3 linked regions of the Neurospora crassa OR74A genome follow. The protein of the gene in region 3 purifies or fractionates together with the protein of the main gene of each other region. This does not show direct contact. Links are inferred from orthologs where the notes say so. Each region holds a gene or a part of one and is shown on either strand. Other genes may lie near its edges.

The links.
Region 1: the proteins of NCU03343 (region 3) and NCU09539 purify together in Saccharomyces cerevisiae (affinity purification with mass spectrometry, with the first as the bait; 3 studies listed by BioGRID). This does not show direct contact. The link is inferred for Neurospora crassa OR74A from reciprocal best matches to the Saccharomyces cerevisiae genes RSM25 and SWS2.
Region 2: the proteins of NCU03343 (region 3) and NCU04806 purify together in Saccharomyces cerevisiae (affinity purification with mass spectrometry, with the first as the bait; 3 studies listed by BioGRID). This does not show direct contact. The link is inferred for Neurospora crassa OR74A from reciprocal best matches to the Saccharomyces cerevisiae genes RSM25 and RSM7.

The regions. Positions count from the first base shown.
Region 1 is NC_026505.1:4,524,444-4,529,792, forward strand, and holds NCU09539 (putative mitochondrial 37S ribosomal protein SWS2), read right to left. Parts: upstream 3,304-5,349; 5' UTR 3,145-3,303; coding exon 3,142-3,144; intron 3,076-3,141; coding exon 3,031-3,075; intron 2,947-3,030; coding exon 2,635-2,946; 3' UTR 2,171-2,634; downstream 1-2,170. Other genes in the region: NCU09538 (microsomal dipeptidase), read left to right, coding at 617-860, 911-1,123, 1,207-2,138; NCU09540 (hypothetical protein), read left to right, coding at 3,508-5,313.
Region 2 is NC_026506.1:886,195-892,337, reverse strand, and holds NCU04806 (hypothetical protein), read right to left. Parts: upstream 3,298-6,143; 5' UTR 2,916-3,297; coding exon 2,442-2,915; intron 2,328-2,441; coding exon 1,872-2,327; 3' UTR 1,038-1,871; downstream 1-1,037.
Region 3 is NC_026502.1:1,033,138-1,038,533, forward strand, and holds NCU03343 (mitochondrial 37S ribosomal protein RSM25), read right to left. Parts: upstream 3,280-5,396; 5' UTR 2,940-3,279; coding exon 2,554-2,939; intron 2,464-2,553; coding exon 2,127-2,463; 3' UTR 1,946-2,126; downstream 1-1,945. Other genes in the region: NCU03344 (hypothetical protein), read left to right, coding at 932-1,945; NCU03342 (hypothetical protein), read left to right, coding at 3,892-5,396. UniProt on the Saccharomyces cerevisiae protein: Component of the mitochondrial ribosome (mitoribosome), a dedicated translation machinery responsible for the synthesis of mitochondrial genome-encoded proteins, including at least some of the essential transmembrane subunits of the mitochondrial respiratory chain.

The sequences.
Region 1 (5,349 bases), on a different chromosome or scaffold from region 3:
TCGTTGGATGTCCAGACCACAAAGTGTAGCAAAGCATCACCATCGGGCAGCTTCGCCGCCAGCAGAGTTAAGGTCGCCGATGAGATACAACAGAATATGAACATTTGAGTAGTATTGTGCTTCGGGCTCGTCATGTACTTTGATGGGAGATGAAGGAACTGGCACGGCCCAAAGGCTGTGGTCCCGTCAGTTATGGATGCTGCACTTTATACATATACGCCAAGATACCCACTCTACGAACCACTCAGTAGACGTGTAGATCTCAGTTGGAGTAACTGTTCATGACTCCTTTCGACATTACCTATTCGTGCCTTGACTCGGATTCTAGATGTAGTCGCTTGAGACGCACCGGTAGGTCTACACTAAGTATACACGCTTCTTTTGCATCTAACTCAAGAAGTGTATGCATTTCCAGGTCGCATCATCAATGACATGACAACGCCGCGGACTATCAACTAAGATGAAGTAACCCCGCTAAGCTTTAGGCGATTTCTAATCCTTCAACGACAACACCGTAAACACGCTCCCCTGTTTCTACTTACGCATCTCTTTTCCCTTTTCCCTCATTCATCGCTTTTTCGGCCATAACGTTGGTGAAACAGTCGTCCCTGAGAAGATGAAGGAAGAAAAGACCCGCGATGTCGGGGATGATGTTGAGCGTTTATCCGCCCCCAACACGCGCCGTCAACGGCGAGGATTCGGCCGCAAGTTCTGGGCCGCCGTGATCATCTCTCTTTTATTGCTTCACCTTCTCGTCCGACCCGCCAGCTATGGCATGTCGGGTTGCCTGCCCAGCTACCCGAGGGAGAAGAGCATTGAAAAACGCGTGAAGCGTATCCTGTCACACACTCCATTGATCGGTACGACCACAAATCAATAATTATTCACCAAATACTGACATAGAGTATAGATGGACACAATGATTTGCCAATCCTGCTGCGAGCCGCTTTCAAGAACCACATCAATGACAAGAACTTTACCACCGGCTGGGAAGACGGCACGCTCCCCGGTCATGTCGACCTTGCACGCCTGAGAGCTGGTATGAACGGAGGGGCCTTCTGGAGCTTGTTCTGGCCTTGCCCTGCCAACGGCTCCGACTTTTCTGATGAAAACTATCTGCCCGGTGGGTTCAACCTTTCACGCAGCCTTACTGCATAGCACGTCAAGAGAAAAAGAGTCTGACATTATCCCTTTCCAACCACACAGCCGTCCAGGCTACCCTCCAACAGATCGACCTAGTCGACCGCCTCAAAGCCGCCTATCCCAAGGACCTCGGGCCGGCAGTCTCCAGCAAAGCCGCCTACAAGGCCTGGAAGCACCACAACCAGCTCATCTCGCCCATGGGCATCGAGGGCCTGCACCAGATCGGCAACTCGGCCGCCACGCTGCGGCGCTACCACGCCCTGGGCGTCCGCTACGCGACCTTGGTCCACAACTGCGGCAACAAGTACGCCGACGCCGCCCTGCAGGAGAACCCATTCCGCAAGGCCCCGTCCCACTGGGGCGGCGTCAGCCCGGCCGGCGAAGCCCTAGTCAACGAGATGAACCGCATCGGCATGATCGTGGATCTGGCCCACACCAGCGTCGACACGATGAAGGATGTTTTGGGTGGCTCGGGCAAGGACTGGAATGGCAGCAGGGCCCCTGTCATCTTCAGCCACTCGAGCGCCTACGCGCTGTGCCCCCACCCGCGCAACGTGCCGGATGACGTCCTTCGTCTGGTCAAGGAGCGCAACTCGCTGGTTATGGTCAACTTCTCACCCGACTTTATCTCGTGCGTGGCGGCGCCGGACAGGGACGATGGGCTGCCGGATTTTTACCCGGCCAATGCGACTCTGGAGCATGTGGCTGACCATATCATTCATATTGGCGAGCTGATTGGATATGATCATGTCGGTCTGGGTAGTGACTTTGATGGGATTCCAGTCGTCCCGAAGGGACTGGAAGATGTCTCGCGCTACCCGGACTTGGTGGCCGAGCTGCTTCGACGGGGTGTTAGTGATGAGGATGTGAGCAAGGTCGTGGGCGGTAACATACTCCGCGTGTGGAGGGATGTTGAGCTCGTGGCGGCTACGATGCAAGCTGCTGGTGAGTCGGCTCTGGAGGATGATCTGCCTAACTTGATGCCCGAGGAGTAGACATCTGAATGGGCGGCACGTAGAGAAAATTACCGTGTTTCCGCAAAGTTTTGTGGCAGCGTAGATAGCTCCAAGATGAGCCTGCAGATGGCAAGCTGCTTATATAAAGACACAAGATCTGGCTAGCATATAGACTCGGGAATTGGGTATCATAAATGTCTGTCGTGATTCGAGTCAATAAGCAAAAAGTTGCCCGTGTTTTGACTTGATCCGATGAATTGCTCTACAACGCCGCGCCTGATTCCTTTTGCGTCCCAGCGTGTCTTCGTTCTGGCTTGACGTATCGTACACTGATTTTGCCTGCCTGCCTGCTCTAAAAGCTCGACAACACCCAGCCGAGCCACGTCAGGCACATCTCTTTCTTCTCTGTCCATGCGTTCGATCCCATGGTCCGACAGCTATCGAAGCAAATGTCGCGTAGCAGAATTGCTCCAGAAATATCCAGACGTCATGGTATTCTCCAAGGTTCCCGTCACCATTACCGTCATCGACTCGCTCAACCGTGGCGCTCGATCTTGTTGAGCTTCCTGGCGTTGGCGATCTGGTTCCTCGTCTGCTGACCGCGCACGGGCAGACCCATGGCATGGCGACGACCGCGGTAGGTACCCATATCACGGAGGCGCTTGATGTTGTCCAGCACCAGCCTCCTGGCGTCGTTCTCGATTGTCATGGTCGACAGTTCGGCCGTCAGGGCAGTGACGATCTTGGGCGGGAGGGTGCCCATCTTCGCGCGCGGGTGGATCGAATACTTTGCGAGAATGCGGGCAGAGGCCTGCTGGCCTAGGCCGTAGAAGCTCTCGAGAGCTTTCTGTGGTTCGCAAGTGGAAGGTTAACCAGGGTGATTCTTGGAGCGCAGAGGAGGACGAGGACGAGGACGAGGAGGAGAGCGCACCTGGACGAGCTTGTGCTCATTGAAGTTGACTCCCAGGATGAACACCTAGCAATAAAATGTTAGAACTTTTGGACAAATATTCCCGGAAATCGCAGAGGCCGTTGTAGGTACCATCTTGTTAGCCGACGATAAGTCACCTTGTCGCAATGGGCATAACTCGGTTCAGGAATCGCGGAGGAGTCTCGACTCTCAGCTCTCAGCAACCCGCAACCCGCGATTTGGAACCGGGCGTGCAGACTTGCCGGGCAGGCGGCGGATCGTGGGGGAGCCCGCATTGGCCGGTGCAAATCCGCAGCGGAGCATTTGGGGTGCGGGACAGCTGGCATCCCATGCTCCGCCAGCTGTCGCCATAAAGGTTATACACATGCGATTGTACCTCATGCATACACTTTACCGTATGAGTCTTGCGAAAAGAAAGCCAAAATTTCATGGCGATGTGCCAAAAATGCAGATGAACAACCACTCACCATACACATCATGACGATCGACTTTACTGCGAGGCCAGAAAAGCCTCTTCCATACTCGGATGATTTTTCATCTGCAGACCAATATGTCGACAGTCTGCTGGACTTTGCGACCAATTCCCACCTTTTCCAGTTTCTCTGTGGTGGTGTCCACATTCTTGACTTCTTCACCAGCGAGCCCGGCCTATTTGTCTCTGCCGTTCCCAAGGAATGGCAGGAGTACCTGGTGCAGACCGAGCCCATGGTCCTTTTGGATTTCTTGATGAGAGATGATCTTGACACACTTGCCGCGCAAACTGGCCCGGGACAGCCTCCCGAGACGCTGGTTCAATATGTCAAGGATATCAGGAAACTTTCTTTACGACGCTCCTTCCAGCCCAGCAAGCCAAAACTACCGGTGCTTCCTCGGCAGGTAGCTTTGGGAATGAACACCAAGAAAGTTCACGAAGTCACTCACTTTTCCGGATACATCGACAGGCTCTCGGAGGACGTCGCTCGGGTGAGGGGACAGGAACTGACGCACTTGGTAGACTTTGGCAGTGGCCAGAATTATCTAGGCCGCGCTCTGGCGAGTCCTCCGTACAACAAGCATATTGTTGCCGTGGAGAGCAAGGAGGCCAACACAGCAGGCGCTAAGGATCTCGATATCTTGTCCGGTCTAGCTGAGCGGGAGAAGAGAATCCGCAACAAGAAGCTCTACCACCGCATTATGGAAAGTGTAGATCCGTCAGAAGCCAACGATGAAGAGGCACTGAAGCGCGCCGCAAAGGCACTGGGTGTGACAGACGAAGATATTGCTACCATTGATCTCCGATCGAGAAAGGAGCTTCAGGCCACTTATGCGCGGGAGGAAGGAAAGGGCAGCATTGAGTACGTCGTTGCCAAGTTGGGAGATGCCGACTTGGCCCCTGTGATCTCCCAGCTGGAGTACACGGAAACTCACAGCGAGGATGATCTCAGCATGATGGCTGTGTCCATCCACTCATGTGGCAACCTCTCTCACTACGGCATCCGGTCCATGGTCCTCAACTCGTCTATCCACGCCGTTGCAATCGTGGGTTGCTGCTACAACCTTCTCACCGAAAAACTGGGTCCTCCGACTTTCAAGCCTTGCTTCAGTCGGCCAACCCTTCAGCCATTGAATGCTCGTGTTGTTAGGGAGTCCGAGAGACGAGATCCCCAGGGTTTCCCCATGAGTGAGAAACTCTCCACCTACAATGACCAAGGCATCCGACTCAACATTACAGCGCGTATGATGGCGTGCCAAGCACCCGGGAACTGGACCGACAAGGAGAGCGATGCCTTCTTCACCCGCCACTTTTACCGCGCCGTCTTGCAAAGGATATTCCTCGACAAGGGGGTCATTTCCAAGGTCTACCACGGGCCAAGCGAGGGCGAGGGCGAGGGCGAGGATGGCAACGAGAGCCCGTTCAACTTCAGCACCAACCCCGTCGTGATCGGCTCACTCAGGAAGCAATGCTACACCTCGTTCAGCGCCTACGTCCGCGGAGCGATCACGAAGCTAACGACCAACTCGGACTTTAGCCAGTACAGCCAGATTGTACGCGAGAAGCTAAGTGACATCACCGACGAGGAGATTGCCAAGTACGAGGCCGCGTACCTGCCCCGAAAGCGGGAGCTCAGCGCAGTCTGGAGCCTGATGGCCTTTAGCGCGTGCGTTGTTGAGTCCCTTATCGTGACTGACCGGTACCTGTTCCTCAAGGAACATTCCGATATTGTTCGCGACTGCTGGGTGGAGACAGTATTTGACTATGGCCAGAGCCCTCGAAATCTCGTCGTTGTGGGTATCAAGAAATAAGAAGACGTGTAGGAAAATAAAACGATGTCGGATGAG
Region 2 (6,143 bases), on a different chromosome or scaffold from region 3:
GTACATGTTGCGGGGCGACGGCTGCCGTGTGAGCGTACATTAGCTGTAACGTTCGGTAGGTAAGGTAGGTCCTGACGGTCCTGACGGATCGACCAAGTGAGCTCATGTTTTTCCTTTGTTCTTTTCGCTCTTCCCTTTTCGGCGAAACGTTGGAGGCCGCTCGCTGCTACTTGCCCGGGATGGATGTCGCTCACTCTTTTTCTAGTGTAAGGGTCTCCCCTCGCCACCTAAGGATCCTTACCGAATGCCAAGCTGCGGCCGATCAGAATACTCGAGTCGACGGGCTTGAAGACGGATGCTGTAACAAACCAAGCGACACTTCAGTAGAGCCAAGACAGACTGCGGGCTGGGCAAGTGCTGGGCAGTGTCACTGCCTGCCTGTGGTTTAAGGTGTAAGGCTTGAGTACCTATCCCAGAAACCTGGATGACGGACCAACTCGCGGCGGGACGGGTTGTTGTGTGCAGTCTGGGCGTTATTGCTGTGTTCAGTTGTTGTGGTTATCTGTTTGTTGCCCTTTTTGGAATTCCGTCATCACACGACCGAGTTGGTGAAAGTTGCAGATATCAAGTAAGTAGAAGTGAGTAATCAGCCAACGCCGCTTCGCATGGGCTGCCACTCAACTGGGTAATGTTGCAAAGAACATGAACAATCATGTAAGTGGATGAAGTAAGTACCCTTTAAATTTAAGGTTGATTATTTGCCTCCCGCCAAGATCTCTGCACCCGCCCCCAGGTTCAGGCGTTGGAAAGGGGACCTGGACTTTGCGTTCAAGAGCTCCAATGGAACATTTTTGACCGAGCTAGAAGAGTTCCAACATTGCTTGCCCGAGCTGAGTCAGGGTAATAACCGAATCCCATGCTCGGCATTTCTTGATCCACCAGACCACGCGCTGCGCCGCCGTTGGCCCCACACGAGACAGCGACAGTTGTTTGATGATTCTCTTTTCAGCCACAACCTCAAATTGCGTCTATAAGTATGTAATGTGTTGCGATGACATAGGGAAAAAACAAGAGTAAAATGATAAGTCGAAGTGGTCGTGATCTAGGAGACGTAATTGCGCATGTGATGGATGTTTGGGTACCTAGTCTTTGCTTGTCACACTGCATCGTCCTGAGCGTGATTAGAGCCCACTTTCTGTGACCGACAAACTCAATTGACGTGGTCGGTTTTCAGTTATCATCTACTGGTTATGAATATCAAGTTCTTTCCTCTTACTTCCTTATGACTATCGATGCTGCTCCTGAGCACACCTCAAAAAAGATTACTCGCAACAAGGATCACTCCTGTTGACGGCTCTCTTGCTACAACTCCATTCGAAACCCCAAGTTATTCGACCTCCTGCGATGCTCGTGATAAAAGTCATCTGACAAGACAGCAAACAATCCTCGTCATGTAACAAGCCGTGGTATTCAGAATCCTGTAGAAACTCGTATACAAATTGTACAGCCCGTGTGTCGATATCTTAGCCGGATCACTCCAGGCTGAGATCCACTGCTGACCTTTTTTTAAACCACATTGTAGCTATAGGTTGTGCGTAGTATGTTTGTGTCCATTACCTCTAAATCCAAGAATATGGTCAGTCAAGGGTCATTGGCCACCATCAACCTCGCCAGAACCGTAACCAAACAAGCTAAGACAAGACACCCGGCTTCACAATGAGCCCAAAACCTTTCACCGGCTTTTTCGCTCCATCACAGAGGCGGCAGCAGCAGCAGCAGCAGCAGCAGCAGCAAAGTAGGAGCATACATATCCATACACACACAAAAAACTAGTATACACAAGAAAAAGGCTGTCGGTCAGAGATTGCTTGGCTTCGCTATGTTGTTGGCTTAACAGGGTGTCCATCAATCAATCAATCAACCAATCAACCTCAGAACCTCTTGCCCTTCAACTGCAGCGCCGGCGAGTTCAGATTGGCTCTGTTGGCCGTGCCCAGCTTGTGAATCAACATCCGCTTATCCCAGACCGAGCTCCTGCCCTCGACGACAGCCACAATCTCCTCAGCCACGCGGTGCGCAAACATGGTGCGACCGGATCCCTTGCTCGGCTTCTTGTTGACCACATCCAGAATCCACTTGAAGGCCGTGGAGCGGCGCTGGCGCGCCGGGATGGGCTGCGGCACTTCGAGAGAGCGACCACCACCGGCCAGACCCTTGTAGCCGCGCATCTTGATCAGGGGCGCTACCGAGTCAATGGCGACCGTGAGGTACTCGACCGGGTTGAGCGGCAGGTGCGAGGCCGGAGGGTGGCCGGGGATCAGAGGGCGCGAGGGGTTGAGTTTGGGAGGGGGCGAGGAGCGGAGGTAGTTTAGGATCATGGCCATGTCCTGTTATGTTAAGAAAAAGGATAGTGTGTTAGCTTTGTGATCGCAAAGTAGTTTGAGCAGAGGTGCCGTAGGTAAAGTGGGAGTAATGGGCATATGGGGGAGGGACCGTCGTACCCTCTGCGCCTTGCTCAGCTTTCCATCCTTCATGAGTAGCTTGGTAGCGTGGTTGACGACCTCCGAGTAGCGGTACTTGTGGTGCAGCTCCGACGGCAGCGGCAGCGTAGGCAGACCGTACTTGTGGCCCTCGATCGCGACGTCGGCCGCCTTGACACCGTATGCGATCTCCGACAACTGGGACAGGGCGGCAGCGTTCTCGGGGGTGACCTCTACTGGTGGTTGGCCTTCAATGCCGGCAAGGTCACCATTGTTGCTGTTGGGAGGAGGGGTGGTCTCGGTCGAGTATGGTTGTGTCCTTTGTTGTTGTTGCTGCTGGATTTGGACTCTGGGTGGTAGCCTCGACGAGGTGGTGGAATCTGTGATGAGGGTGCGCGCCTGCACGGCGGCGGCAATCGATTGCTGCTGAGGCAATTGGTTTGTCCGGATGGACAGGGACCGGAAGGCGGCACTGAGACCCAACCTCGCAGGCATCTTTGTTTGTGGTGGTGATGCGGGTGTTCGGTAGTGGTGATGGTGGTGGTTGAGTTTGCTGGCTAATCGGCTTGCGACGACGACGACGGTGGGGGTACACACACACGGCGCGGGGGGGCAGAACGAAGGCGGCGGACGGAGGGCGGGCCGGCTTGGGAAACACCACTCAAACACGGGGCGGACAGACACTACTACGCGCACGCAACGAACCCGCGAAGCAGCCGGGGGGAGGGACTCGAACACTCGTGATCTCGGCGGACTCTGCAATGTTTGGCCGGCGGCAGTGGCATCGAGTGGAGCCCCGGAGAGCGGGACTTCAGGAACAATTTTTTGGAGCCGTTCGCCTTTCCGGAGTTTTCCCGAGGACGACGTTGGTGCGCCGCTGCGGCTCAAACCCCCCGCCAAAAGAAAAATAAAAAAGAGGGAACGCACAGACCATAACCTTAAAAAGCCACCCCCCCTCCCCAGCTCCCCTGATCAACAACCGAACTCCATCCGGCAACTCGGACGTGGGCCCCCCCCACGCGGCGGCGTTCGTTGATCACCCAACCTGGTCCCCTACCTGGCCGTCAGTCGTCGTCATCTTGTATCCTTCCATCCTTCCATCCAATCCTCCCTGTTTGGGGAGTTTAGTTTGGACAAGGTCAACATGGTACCTTGATATCCACCAACCCACAGGCCGCGATCTCCAACTGCAGCCGATCTGGTTCCTGATCCTGATCGGCTGATCCTGGTGATGGGCCCAGGGAGGGTAGAGGTAACCCACCACCTCCTCCACCAACATGCACTTTCAAAGAATCTACACTACACTATGTACAACTGAAGCCATCAAGACAAGGGTCCTCACTGGTTACGAGTCCGAGGCTCGTTTCCTGCCAAAAGAGGTGCTAGACTAGACCGCCTCAAATGTCTCTCAACAGCAGCATAATCGGATCCGTCGGTCAAGACAAGCTGGACATGGCAAGTCAGATCGTCATTAGTGTAGATGCGGTTAAGTTCGGGACACCTAGGAAGGACAGTATGTAGATAAACTAGCAAATTGACTTCTCTACTAGGGGCATCGAACACAATGTTATTTCACACTCTGTACGCTCTGCTTGTTTATATGTGGCTCGCCTTGTCTTGACTAGGTACCTAGCTTTGTCCCTGTCATGACTTGCCGCCTCACTCTCGATGGGGTGTTCAATATCAACATGTCCACCACCTTCAGTCAAGGCAAGAAGCCGCATCGAGTTTACTTACATCTACATATCCAAGGTACCCACTAACGGTATCCCTGTTGTGCGGTGCATGATGGGTGGTGACTGGTGATTTACACCATATTTTACTATTCTACACTACACCCCCTTACGGCAAAGTGCGGTTTCTGTGGACCTGGAAGCCTGTAGTAAACCTCTGAAGAAGCAAAGTACTTTGACGTTGAGTAACGATCTAGTGTAAGAACTGGCCAGCCGCGGATAGGCAGGCGGTCATCCGTCCATTCGGTAAAAATTTCGTCGTAAATTTGTTGTGTTTGTGGTTGACCAACGAATATTCCGTTTTCTTCTTCGGGCCCCCGCGCCGTATCTACAGTCCGCCCATGCGAGAGTAACCATTCAGCTATTGGTTTGGTATGTGGTGCGGTCCCGACCCCGGCCCCCCGGCCTCGGCTCCGTGTCTTGTATTACCCCTCCGTCCCGAAGCGTTCGTTGACTAAAACAAATTGTTTTACCTCGGTTCGGATATACACTATACGGAGCATGTACGTACTGATCCCGGATACCACAAAATATCATGTTTCAGGTTGCACCAAATCCCCAATACAAAGGCTGTCGAGAGGACTAGATCGGGACTTGGTCATGCAAGAGCCACGTTGAGCTGCATAGGAGGCGCAGTGGTGGAATGCCGCCAGGTGGTCACGGGAGAGCGACCTTTCTTTTACATTGGCTAACCACTTACATAAATAGATTCTTGCCCCTGGTGTAACAAACCTGACTGTCATCTCTTCCTAAATGGTTTGGCGTTCTCATTCTATACTCCGTTGGTAGAGTTAGGCTTTTGACCGTAGGGCTGCCCAGATGTTCGCGAGATCGTCGTGTAAGGCTGCTAATTCTCGAGGTCGTCAGCTCATACACATCCTTCTCTTTCACGTGTCAACAGGTTGAACCGATCATATGTTCTTGACATTGCAGTCTGGTGTTCAAGATTTTTAAGACGCTCACTCATTAGACCAAAGGTGGAAGGAAATGACATAACCAGTCGTCAAAGCAAAAGAGAAGCCCAGCCTCGTAACGCTCATGACTGTCGTTGTACCACTCAGACCGGATCCAGCCAGTCATCTCCCCTCATCCCAAGCGTCGTTTTGAGAAAGTCGCAAAGAGTTAACTCCCGAATTTGCGTCTGCCCCCACCAGTCTCTTCCCCCCATCTCTTCCTAGACTGCCCCAACATCAATCAAAACTTTTGACCAAACTTTCGCGCAAATGCCTCCCTCCCTCGTAATAAAAGCCCTTGCCATCCCGCCAATTGTCCCTCCCTTCTCCTAGAAGAGAGACACCCCAAATTGCTGATTAAAATACCATTATATCAGATATCCCTCCTCCTTGTAGATTACCACCCGAAGAAAAACCAAAACAGAACAAAAAGGGTATTAAGTAATGGCAACTGAAATATGAAAACAAAACCAAAGCCCAAAACAAGCAGATCATAGGCATTTGGTGTCCGCCCTGTTGTGAGACAACCAAAGAATGTCGGGTAAGCCTGTCATCTGACAGATGGAGATCCCTTCTGGTCCCAGTCGAATTCCATCCCCCAACAAATCATTGTCGTAGATATGATGCCACCAGTAGCGTTGGTAGGGAGAAGCAAGTCAACCCAGAACCAAGGGACTCGACCGTCAACTTGCGGTCAAGAGTCAACCCAGATCCCTAGCGAGTCAACGAGCCCCAGCATCCTCCAAACTTCCATGCATCATTTCCTCGTATCGACCATGTTGATGATTGGGACGGTGATGACCGAGACTCCAGAGTTATTGAAATCCCGCAATCTGACAGACGGCTTTGCTCCGGACGGGTAGAACAAGCAGATTGCCACAGCGCCGCTTTTGTTCGACCCAACTGGGCCATCCGTTGGATTCCCCCACGCTCGTCGTAGCCTTGGCTGTAGTAAATGCCTTCGGAATCGATAATCTTTGGTGTGAGCGATTGCTGCTACTCCGAAGCAGGGCGAACACCTAGGTGCAGGGCCGTAG
Region 3 (5,396 bases):
AAATATGTCCCCAACCGCTGAAGCTAATCGCAGGTATTGGAGACCGAGAACTCAATTTGTCGTGGAATGGTTCCTCTGTTTATAGGTGATTGCTCAATTGGAGGTCGTCTAAGTGGTGAAAGGTGGTATCCATTCAAGACGGATGGAATGTGAAGATGGAACTGAAGCGACATGGGACTTTGGGGTTACTGAGTGAGGAGGAGCTCTCTCTCTTGAGGTTTCGTTGACAACAAGCATCCATGCGGTTCCCAACTTCCCGCTTTCTGCCAGGCGGTCGGTCAACTTTTTAGCGGCCTGGGCCGCCAAATGCGCCCAAATCGCAGTCACCAGTGGGGCCACCGTCGTCATTCCCTTCCGCTATTCGGCAGATCATCAGGGCCCAGGGGTGCGTGTCGGGTGTTCTCCAGGTCTCTCTTTCAGGGGTTTCAATTTGGCCCAAGCTTCCCGTCATTCATTGTCGTGCCCCGTAAAGCGACATGCACTGGCTCATTCCCGTCATGTAGCTACCTCTACAGAAACCACACCTCCATCGCCTTTTGCTCAGTGTCATTTTTTCCACATGCCTCTACGACTTAAAAGCCTTTGATCTTGATGTCATATATCACGCTTTAAATCTTGCCAGATCTAAAACACCCATTCACCTGGAGACACATGTGTCAAGTCGGCATGGGGCTTATATGAGCGAGTCTACATGTTCACCTCCAGACGGCACCAAACAAGCCTCTCCTTCTTACCCCAATTGGATGTGCCCCTTTTGTCATTGTTTATTAGCCCCTTTATTTTGGAAGGCGTGACTTCAGGAAACCTCCAAACAAAACACGTTATCAAGATTCGACGAGGTGACACCATCAAGTACCCAGACTCCATATTCAAAGAATGTGAAACTAATTATACCAATAGAATTTTGAAGAGACCTTTGGGGCTCTCTAGAATGGCCCCTACTACTTCAGCGTCCGTGCTGGCGGGCAAGGAAGAATCGCGCAATGATCAAGAGCTAAAGCCCGACACCAGAGCTGAGAGCTACTCTCAGTTACATGTTGAGACTGTGAGCGGCATCAACTTGACAGCAGCCACCTTTGTTGCGGGTGCAGCATCCTCCACCGCAGCCGGGCTTCTCCTCTCTGGTCTATCATGGCTATGGCTCATCTCCCTCGTCATCACCGTCGGGATAGTGCTTGGTACCTTTATTGTCTACCGGCACTTTGAAATGATACGCCGGCGTCAAAAGCCAGGTGGCAGCTGGCTCGTCCCCAGCAATACGCCCCAACCCAATGCCGCTGGCACACAAGTTCCCAACACCACCTCTCTTCCTGCTATTTACTTCACATATATACTTGGCTCTGGTGGACACACTGCTGAGATGATTGAGACCATCAAGCAGTCATTTCGCGGCCAGGCAAACATCCACCGGCGGTACATCATCTCCATCGGAGACACTTCCTCTCTCGGCAAGGCCCGCCTTCTGGAAGCGACTATCAAGGACGCCTATCCCGGAGAAGATGATCGAGCAGGCACCTCTGATATCTTCTTAATCCGCCGTGCGCGCAAGGTCCATCAACCGCTCTATACGGCACCCTTTACCTGCCTCATATCCGCCTTTCATGCCGCCAATGCCCTCACACGGATGCCCAACCCACGGTCAACAAAGGATCATGGAAAGGGATTCAGATACCCGCATGTGATTGTTACAAATGGGCCTGCCAACGGCTTTATTGTGTGTTTGGTGGCCCACTTGCTCAAGATATTCTACCTCGTACCCGAAAACAGGGCCAAGGTGGTGTACATCGAGACCTGGGCCAGGTCCAAGACGATGAGTCTGACGGGGAAGTTGTTTCTAAAAACGGGCATTGCCGATGTTGTCGGTGTGCAGCACGAGAGTCTGGCGAAAATATTCAAGGGCAGTCAGTATATCGGGCCGGTGTCTGCCGGGTTTCTTCGAAGATAGGCGACCAGGCTCCTGAATCACATGTACTTCTACAAAGTCTCTTGCCCTCTCTATATGTACAAAGAGACGTGATATTCTTACACTTGTGCACGAGTGGGCCGGCATCGTCTTTCCCCGACACGGATGGGTATCAGCCACGCTATACCACTCTGTCCCTCCCCTTTTACTCCAATTCGTTGCCTTAATTCTGCGCGAGCAGCTCGTCCTCCTCAGATTCCTCGAGCGCAGAGTTGTCGACGACATTGGTGTACATGGAAGCCCTGGCAGATTCCTGGCGGGCGATCTCGGTCGTAGCCCACTTCTTCCAACTCTCATACGTCTTGTTCTCGAGCTCCATGCCGACCGTCAGAAGGTCCTTGCCAAAGTAGCCACCAACCATGCGGGCCTCCTCGACGGCTATCCTGCGCTCCATCTGCTCCAACTGCCTCAACTTGTAGAACTCGTGGCGCGCCTTGTCGTAGGCTTCCTGCTTGGTCATGCCTTGATTCTCCATAAGCCAGAGCTGACGTTGAACGACACTATCGTTTGCGATTCGGGTTAGCATCCAATTTCCATGCCTGTCCGCCGGGCTTTTGCGCCATGTGCAATGCGCTCATCCAACAACGTACCTCTCGCCGGACAAGGGGATGCCGCGTTGCCTGAGGCCCTTGGACCAGTCAAGGAAACGGGCGTCCTTGCCATCCAACTCGATAATCATCCTAGGCCTGGCCAACTCCCAAGGGTGGTCGCGGTAGAAGTCGCGGCGCAACTCATCTTCGGGATAGACGATCTTGGTGGGCCTAAAGAGGTTGCGTGGCTTGCGCGCTCGCGGGTTCGGCGGAGAGTGCTGGATCGGATACGGTCTGGTGTTGATCTCAGCGGGAGGGATGGACTCGATGGCCTTGAGCCACAGTGGTGGGTTCCGTGGTGGCAGGCCAGAGACGATGTTGGTGGCAGCAGCCTCGCTGGCCCTCTGGTAGACCTTTGCGGCCTGGAAGATGCGCCCCTTGCCCATCTTGTCCGGTCGTCGCTGGCGGCGTTTGGGTGTTGTGGAGGGAATTACTGGTGATAATCGACGGCAGCGGTGGTGTTGGCTGAGATCAGAGGACCATTGGCGGATTCGGCGGTCCTTTCGTTCCTCAGGTACCCTCCCAAGGCAAAGGCAAGGCTACGAGGTTACGGGGTGTGTATACCTGTGTAAGGTAATAATAATACACTGCGCTGCGCTGCGTAGGCACAATGGATTCCCTCACCCGCCAAACCTATCGTTATCGCTATTTGCTTAGCTTTGTCCAAAGTGGAGCTGTGCCTTTTGGAGACAGGCACGATCCGACACGACCTTCAGTTGTTGCCGGTAACCCGCGCGACCTGCTGTCCTGCCTGCCGCGAGCGGGCGAGCAATTGGAAGGACGTGCCGGCAAAAAAAAAATAGTTCCCCGCCCCGCCATTAAGCGACCAAAGGGAAGGGAAGTACCTAGCTAGGTGCTTATCGATAACAGAAGTGGGGGTCTTGAGCCCGGCCGAGACTGGACCCTATTCCAGCTTCCCCTCTTTCGTAGAGGCAGGGGTGGGGTGTGCTCACGGCAAGGTACCTGGAGCTGTGCCTCGTCCATGTATTGTAGTGTACACCACTACACTACCCCAACTTTTTCTCAATCATCGCGTCGCTCACCCGACCCCAGTTTCCTGCCACATCCCTCCTCACTTCATGACTCGAGTTCTCCCCATTCTCCCCATACTTCCCCGCCCTCCACGAATCTGACGCCCTGACCACATCGACCTGAGTACGATCCAATTCGCCAGTAACCGCGATTGCATCGAGTGCCAATCGAGTGCGCAGCAGCCAGCAGCTTGTGATTGCGTCTTCTCTGAGCTCTTCTTCATCGAATTGCGGCCGACACTCGCGGGGAACAGGCAAGAAAAGGTTGGCTGAATGGGCAGGCCATCATGTTGGACGGCGGCAGCTCATGAAAGTCTCCAGCCGATTTGAAGGGTCGATATGCGGCACCATCTTCTTGCATCGTCCGTCGTGGAATTGGTCTGCCATTGCCGCCTCCGCAACCGCAATTGCTGCCACCAGTTCCGTGTCGCAAACCACAGCATCCATCCAGCTCGGTGACCAAGGCAGCGGACGAAGAAGACAGGTTGCGACAGCAGGCCTCGGCCCAGTACAACAACGACGGTGCTTCCACGGCAGCTGGAGCTCACAAAGTGGTGGCCTTGTCGATGGGGTCGCGAGGAGACCCATAGGCGGCTCCACCGGTTGCCCGCTACTGACCACCCCATCCCTGCGGGTAACTCCCACCAGTCTGTCCGGCACGAACAGCAGACGAGCACTCGACTCCAACTTCTTCCGCTATTCGGTCTCTGCTCCCCAAAAGCGGAGCCACACGGCGGCGGCGGCGGCGGCGGCAGCCCCGGTCCCTGACCCCGTTGCCGCAGCTGCCCCCGAACCCAGTGCCGATCAGAAGCCCGCCGACTCTGTCTTCTCGGCCCCATCCGCGCTACATGACGATCTATCGACCGAGTCCCACTCGGGCGCAAACCCACAATCACAAGAGCTGCCCGAATCCCACAGTGCGAAGCTCGGTCATCTCACCAAAGAAGAGCTGCTTGAACTGGTAGATCCCTATCATGATCTAGATGGAACGGTCGAAGACTACCTCAAGTTCATTCGCGATCCTTACATGCATAATTATGCGCCCGCTGATAGGCCCCGGTTCACCTTTGTACAAAATGAAGATGACTACGAGTATCCAGGCCCGGACGAAGTGGTTGGACTGGACGAATTTGGCCAACACACACTGAGCGATCTCAGGTTTGCTGTACTCGTGCGGCTGCGCACTCCACACAAGGTTGACCTTGACACGATCTACGACCTCTACCAGCAACTGCCGGAACCGCGCATGCCCTACATCAATGGTCGATTGCGACATCAGCTCCTAAAAGCATTAGGGCAGCCTCAGCGGAGAAACTCCAAGTCCATGCTGCGGTACTTCGCCGTCATAGCGGATGTGAGGAACTGCAGCATGCCCTTGACGGCAGGGGAGTGGAATTGCGCCATCTCTTTTGCAAGCCGATATGTTGGCACTGTCACCGAAACTCAGGCGCAGTCTGCCATGAGACTGTGGCGCGAGATGGAAGTCGACGCTGGCATCAAGGCGACCGAGGTAACCTTCAACATTTTGTTTGATGTGGCCTCGAAGGCTGGCAACTTCACTCTCGCTGAAATGATTTACCAAGAAATGGTCAGTCGTGGGCACTATTTCAACCGCTATCACCACGTAAGCTTGATCCATTTCTTTGGGCTCAAGAGGGAGACTGGTGGACTGCGCGCCGCGTTTCGGGAGATGGTTGAGGCCGGCGAGATGATTGACACGGTTGTCCTCAACGCCGTCATATCTGGACTGTTGCGATCGGGCGAGGAAGCAGCGGCCGAGCGTATTTATGCTCGCATGGTGGCTTCTATCGC